Linked DNA regions of Schizosaccharomyces pombe. The gene in region 1 interacts genetically with each later gene. Each region holds a gene or a part of one and is shown in the gene's direction. Other genes may lie near its edges.

Evidence for each region.
Region 2: mutations in dtd1 (region 1) and obr1 together harm fitness more than expected from each alone (negative genetic interaction), as found in Schizosaccharomyces pombe (one large-scale study listed by BioGRID).

Annotation. Positions count from the first base shown.
Region 1 is NC_003424.3:3,647,506-3,651,129, forward strand, and holds dtd1 (D-Tyr-tRNA deacylase), read left to right. Parts: upstream 1-1,887; 5' UTR 1,888-2,053; coding exon 2,054-2,096; exon of another isoform or gene 2,097-2,210; coding exon 2,211-2,244; exon of another isoform or gene 2,245-2,293; coding exon 2,294-2,322; exon of another isoform or gene 2,323-2,433; coding exon 2,434-2,553; exon of another isoform or gene 2,554-2,611; coding exon 2,612-2,755; exon of another isoform or gene 2,756-2,832; coding exon 2,833-2,836; exon of another isoform or gene 2,837-2,884; coding exon 2,885-2,960; 3' UTR 2,961-3,124; downstream 3,125-3,624. Other genes in the region: SPOM_SPAC8C9.04 (uncharacterized protein), read left to right, coding at 1-713; translation regulator Ppr4, read right to left, coding at 3,135-3,624. UniProt on the Schizosaccharomyces pombe protein: An aminoacyl-tRNA editing enzyme that deacylates mischarged D-aminoacyl-tRNAs. Also deacylates mischarged glycyl-tRNA(Ala), protecting cells against glycine mischarging by AlaRS.
Region 2 is NC_003424.3:2,093,320-2,096,915, reverse strand, and holds obr1 (NAD(P)H dehydrogenase (quinone)), read left to right. Parts: upstream 1-1,931; 5' UTR 1,932-2,024; coding exon 2,025-2,633; 3' UTR 2,634-2,806; downstream 2,807-3,596. Other genes in the region: SPOM_SPAC25A8.03C (uncharacterized protein), read left to right, coding at 1-534. UniProt on the Schizosaccharomyces pombe protein: Unknown. Target of pap1 transcription factor. Confers brefeldin A resistance in S.pombe.

The DNA of each region.
Region 1 (3,624 bases):
AGGGTGTCTCTTCCACTGTCAAGAACGAGGTAAATGTCCCCTCGACCATTCCCACCGAGTCTGAAAACCCAGTGGCCGTTGGAGGTACCACTGCAGAACACCCAGTGCAAGAAGCTGTCACTGCCCCTACCGAGACTGCTCATGATTTCTCCAAGGAAACCACCACTGCTTCCAAAAGGGTGTCAAAACATGACAAGGCGTCCGCCGAGAAACATAAGGTTGCCAGGAAACCCTCTTCTACTGGACAAGAGCCAACGACTCCTTCCACGCCTGCCAAATCAGCCCAGTCCTCCAAGCATGCACGTAGACCTTCAAAACAAGCATCTGCTCCCTCCAGTCCCGGTACTACGTCGGCTGCTGTACCAGGAGGAAAGAAGTCCGCTATTGAAGCTGCTGCTCCTATCCCGACTTCTGCTGATACCGTCGAGTCTAAACATGCTGCTGGTTCTGGTTCTGCTACCACCATACCTTCTCCTGGTTCTGCCACCACCAAACCTACTCCTGGTTCTGCCACCACCAAACCTACTCCTGTTTCTGCTACTGAGGAACATGCTGCCGGCACTACCAAGCCAGCTCCTGCTGCTGGTGCCACTGCGACAGCTGAGAATGAGACGGCTGATGGAAAGGCACAAACCGCCACTGATGGTGAAGCAGCTCCCAAGAAGTCTTGGTTCAAACGTATGAAAAAGTCTTTTGGCAAACTGTTCCACTAGGGTTTACCTGGAAGCATTGGGCATATGTTTGATTTCCGTCTTTTATTTTTGTATGTTGAAAAATTCACCTTTTAGCGACATGACGGTGTCGATGATGATGATGATGATGATGATTTGAGTGAGTGAATGAGTGTTGCTGGGCTATTTGTTTGAAATTGGATTATTGATGTTTAATTATTCGACAATAAAGCCGAATTGTTGATCTAACAATCGATCGTTCATTATTTTGCTGTTTTGTATTCCAGTCTTTTTCTTTTCAAATCACTCATTAGTTTCCATAAGTTGGTTTGGGTAGTCTTAATTTTAAAAAATCTCCATCTTTGTATTTAAGGATTTTTTTTTTCGTATTTAATTGCTTTCCATTATATCACTTTGGATATTATTGTGTGATCGACTATGCCACTGAAGTGTTTGCGTTATGTTTTCTTTGATTTTGTTTGTAATGATTTGACTAGCATAACATGCTGTTTTTTCAAGTCTTTATACCTTTTCCTCTTTGCTATGTGCTTTCTTTGCGCATGTTGTTTCTAAACTATTCATGCAGCCATATGCGCACATATATACACATAAATTTGCTGTACATTGCTCAATCTTTTAAGTTGATTCCGATGGTACGGATTATACCTATTAGATTCAGCAATTCAAGTTTTGCGAAATAAATGGCTTTTACTATTTCAGTTTACTCGTTTCACTTGTGTAAGTTTTCTTCCTCTCCCATGTTTTCTTTTTTTAATTTTTTTAGTCTGGGTTAAGTAAGTGTAGAATGTAAGTTTATATGGGATTTTGAGGCCGTGGAACTTTTTACGCTTCGGATACCCTTTAGTTCTAGTTTTGGGATACATCGGCTCACAATCACCATTTCCTACCCGATACCCTTTCCCGTACTATTCCGTATGCTTGCTTTACATTAAGTTGCGCATGTACTAAGTATTTTAAATAGTAAATTAGACCAGTGTATATAATTTAAACAAATGACAAAATCTACATGGCGGTTGAAAACATTAACTTTTAACAATTTTTCCATGAATCGCTTATTTTTGAGTATATTTCATATTCATCCCGGAGTCAGCCATGACTTTTTACCGCATAACGTAGCTGTATTTTCCTTTTTATCTAAGATCGCCGACTCAATTATTATATGCCATAAATTTTCTATTTGATAACAGTATAATATACCCTTTACCAAACACACTACCTGCTATATAGAATTTTTTGCTTTACTACTATTAAAACTACTTCTGCAGTTTTGTTGTCGTAGTATATATTATTGTTGTTATTATTAATAGTCTTCGGTTCTGTCCATCCTTCGTTACCTTTTTTTTTTTTGAACAGTAGAAAACATGAAGGCAGTAATTCAGCGAGTTTTAAATGCTTCTGTTTCTGGTAAGTATTAATCAATATATACTAAGTTTGGACGGATTTTATAATCGGTAATAAGAAAATAAATTATTAATAAACTCAATGTTTATGAACTTATTTACTAATACGAGTTTATAGTTGATGACAAAATTGTTTCTGCCATTCAACAAGGGTAAGACAACAATTGTAACCCGTAATTCGTTGACTTCTAATCCGCCCAGTTACTGTATACTTTTGGGAGTAGGTTCAGGTGAGCATATTTAAAAATCAATCGTGCAAGCAATTTCTTCGAATGATTAATAACTCGTTTTTGGCTTGTCTTCAAGTTGTCCGTTGTAACCCTTTCTCTAATAAAAAACAGATGACACACCCGAAGATGTTACGAAACTGTCAAACAAGATTTTGAAATTGAAACTTTTCGACAATGCCGAACAACCCTGGAAGAGCACGATTGCCGATATACAAGGAGAAATCCTTTGCGGTAAGCATCTTTTTTTGATAATATCATAAATATTGAGCCTCCTCTTTAACATAATTAGTATCCCAATTCACTCTTCATGCTCGTGTTAACAAAGGTGCCAAACCTGATTTTCACAGAAGCATGAAGGGTCCTGAAGCCATCGAATTGTATGAACAAGTTGTTAAAACATTAGGAGAAAGCCTCGGAAGCGACAAGATAAAGAGTAAGTAGCAGTGAACTCAGTCTGCATTTAACCAATGTACTTTATTTTGAGTTTTAATTTACTAACTATGATTTTAGAGGGGTAAGCATCATCATCATAACTAAGATTCTCTATTTAACCCATGTATAGTGTTTTTGGGGCAATGATGAATGTCCAGCTCGTGAATAATGGTCCAGTGACTATTTTGTATGATACTAAAGAATAATTAGATTTATTAAATGATATCCGTACTCAACCATTAGAACTAGTTGACGATTTTGGAAATTAAAATTCAGTAATCTTTATCTCTTTGGAATAAAACACCCAGAGCTAAGTTTACAAGTCCAATTTTTTGACAAAGGCAGCATACGGCGAGACGGCTGAGTTCACAATTGAAATATTAGACCTTGGCTAATAAATTAAATAATATTTCGTTGTCCCGTCTTATGGTTTGAAGGTATTTTACAGTTGGAACAAGAATACCTTGACTAATTCGCACAAAGTCGTCTTCAACCGCCATATCTAACTTATCTCTCAATGCTTTCAGGGTGCTAAAGTATAACGGAGAATCAGGAGATAAAAAGAAAGATATTATGCTATTTTGACTAGATGCATCTGGTATTAGTTCCTCAATTCTCTTTGAAGACAAAAATATATTATATACTCTTTTGATAGCTGCATCAAGCCGGTCGTCATATAACAGCCAAATAATTCGCTTGTTTTGTAAAGAGTCATCGTATTCAAATCCCAACTTTTCGAGTCTACTCCATTCTTGGTCCAATTCTTGAAAGGAGTTAACGCTTGCCAGAAAAGAAAAGTAAGTTTCGGCTGCCACGTTTAAAGCACTCTTGTAAGCAGGGATTACACCACTCGGGGAAGGAATGTTTTTA
Region 2 (3,596 bases), 1.6 Mb from region 1:
CAAGCTAGGATTAATGTTCAGCAAGGGTTTAGCGACAGCAGGGCTAAACGGTACTTTTCCGGTGTTAAACAAGTATTTTGGTCCTTTTTTAGCACGCAAAAACTCACATACTATCCTACGAAAGCCATTAGATTTTTTGAACGATTGTCAAAACAGTTTCCGCACCACAGTCTGCTTTTGATGGACGTGTGTCACGTTGACAAATCCTTGCCTGGAATCAATGCACCGTCTGTTTTAAGTATGGAAAATGATTTTTCTACAAAAAAAATGTCTTCTAACATTGGGCACGTGTTTCAAAATGAGACCGTCAAATATGTGTTTCCCACACCTTTATATCTAGTTTCAGATATACTTCAGCTTGCTACTCATAATCGGTCCTTCATTTGTTCACTTCCCCATTTCTTAAGGCGATGGTCTAATGAACATGGTAGAAAGTTTTTCGTTCCTGTAGAACCGTCATCTAAAAACCTAAAAGTTCCTTATTCCTTCAACAATTACTACGTTGTCTCGTCTATGCCAACTTATTATTACTAAATGGCAAGTACTATTTTTCTTATTCTTTGTTCAACTTGAGAGGTGCACTAAGCGGGCTAGTGAATTGACTTTAGTTATTTATTTATTTATTTTTTGAAAATTGGTTATAAATAAAATAGCTTTAAATTGGAAAGAATATCATATTCAGTTAGGGTTGAAAAGGTTAAATAATGAAATTGCCAGTGTCAACTCGAAAGAGAATGCGAGCTTTAAACTGCATAAATAATTAAATATCGGAAATTTATACAATCTTCAAACGCAAGCCGTATTCAGTTTTGTATTGAACATCGATTGAATTGCTATAATCTTCCTATTAAAGATTTTGCAATAAACATTAATAATCCATTGAAATTTTTTTTTTTTTTTTTAAGAATCGAATTTTATTGTATTAAGACGTGATCCTAAACGCATTGTATAATATCATTGTGTTTTATTTTCCTGGGGTTTTTTTTTATTGCTTATTTAATTAATTAATTATTTATTTAATTAGTTAATTTATTTGCTTAGTTTATTACAACTCGTTCATCTTTTTATTTGGTTTTTTACTTTTAATTATTATTTCTTTTTTAATCATTCTTGAGAAATCGCTCTGTTTTGATTATGCGATTTATTTGCTATTGTCTTTTAGCACCTACAAATTTCTCAAGAATATTATCCTGTATGATGTTTTACATATGAATATATGAAATTGATTGATTTAAAATTGATACTATGATGAGAAAGGGAAGAGGTTTAACACTTCATTCTATAACCGTTTTCTTTTGTTTTCAGTGCTGACCAATTCCTTGCATACACAAAAACTTTCCAAGGATGATGATGGACTGGCTGACCATCAATGCATTTTGCACTTAAAATAGCGTACGTTTTATCGATTTACCGATGTTTTCCATTGGGTTGTGTTAAATTAGAGGTGACCGTAACCATGTTATTTTCCCAGTACTAAGTTAGTAGGAAAGCTATAGAGAAACCCAAAGTCCCCCACTTAGGCCAACAGTGGCGCAGCTACATCGATAAAGCAAAGATGAAAATAGCGATACAAAAGGTCAACACCAAAAACTCATCAAGCGAGCCAAAGTATGTAACCTCAGTTTACAGAAAATGGGACAGGTAATAACAAATGCCAACACCTGTGGAATGAAAGTATTTCAAGCACAAAATCGGTTTGTTTGATCTAAAGTGAGCATGAATGAGAGAGAAAGAAATAAAATAATAATAGAATCATTGTTTGAATAGGATTAGTCAGAAATGGTTCAATTTTCACAATCCTAGGATGAACCAAAGGTAGTTTACGTAATCTTGGTAATCAACCGCTGGTCCCAAAAAAACAGGAAATAAAAAAAAACACATCGGAGGCTTTCAAAAAATCTATATAAGGACGTAAAATTCCCTATATTTTTAAACGTTCCAAAGAAATTCAATCACAGCTTCATTCTTCACTGTCGTGCTTCGATTTCGTTATTTTATTACTCCAGCGTTTTATTAAACCCAGTATGTCTACCGCAAACACCGTCGCTATTGTGATTTATTCCACTTATGGCCATGTCGTCAAACTGGCTGAGGCCGAAAAGGCTGGCATTGAGAAAGCTGGTGGAAAAGCTGTCATTTATCAGTTCCCCGAGACATTGAGTCCTGAAATCTTGGAGAAGATGCATGCTGCACCCAAACCCAATTACCCTGTTGTTACACTCGATGTCTTAACGCAGTATGATGCCTTCCTCTTCGGTTATCCTACACGCTACGGCACTCCTCCTGCTCAGTTCCGTACTTTTTGGGACTCCACTGGTGGTTTATGGGTGCAAGGTGCTTTGCATGGAAAGTACTTTGGTCAGTTCTTTTCCACCGGTACCTTGGGCGGTGGTCAAGAAAGCACTGCTCTTACTGCCATGACCAGCTTTGTTCATCATGGAATGATTTTTGTACCTCTTGGCTATAAGAATACATTTTCACTCATGGCTAACGTTGAGTCCATTCATGGCGGCTCCAGCTGGGGCGCTGGTTCCTATGCTGGAGCCGACGGTTCTCGTAATGTATCCGATGATGAACTAGAAATTGCACGAATTCAAGGTGAGACTTTCTTCAAGACTGTTTTCCGCAAGTAAGACTTTGCGAATAGTATCTATTGAAACAGTGCAAATGATTGCACAATTTTGAGTTGAATCACCAACTGGCTTTTTTTGTTTACGCCCATGCATTGCATTGCTTGGCCAAGTAATGCACGTTTCGCTAGTTGATTGTTTATACCATAGAATGAATATTCAATTATTTCTCTTTTAAAGTAGAAGTCTTAGGAATGTATTTTCGCGTAATCCGTCACCTAATTGAGATGCTTAATGTAAAAAACATCCATTTTCTGTATCTCAACCATTCGATTTAGTAATGTGTCGTTTATAGCTAACTGAACAAAACGATATTTCTACGGATGTTCTCTCTTACAAATCGCTTTCGCCCTATATTCTTGGGAGTTATTATTTAATGCTCTTTTGCTATTTGTTAAAGACCACTCACTATTACTCGATTTTTCGACACGTGTGATGTATGTATGTATCGGCACTGATGATGATCAGAAAGACATCTTTCGATAATACCGCAACCATAAACTATCCCACGATTCCGTCTATCCTCGTTTGAGTTTCAATATTTTATTGTTCGTGCGAATTTAATAATTCAAGGTTATCACCTTTTTATTCTAGAGTTGTAAGTTTTTATATTAATTGCCTTTCTTTACTACTGCAGGTAAGTTTTGCTTATCAATCGAATCGTTCAAGGCTCCACCCCGCCGCAGAACTTTAAACAAACCCGGTTACACGCGTGTTGTAGGATCTAATTCAGCAGCACAAAAGATGTAAAAAAGAATTGGATTACAATGCCTTTTACACAACTTGTCTATCCTCTCAAACTTCTGATCGATACAAAAGCTCTTGCTCAGCGCTTTCGCCAAACTCCTGTAACCCTTATAGCATATTTCTATGCGAACTCTGATCCGCAGCTTAATGCAACTTAAACCATAACATTGGGAAGCTATTTTTGCATGCGTAAGGCTACCTAATATATCGTCATAGGCA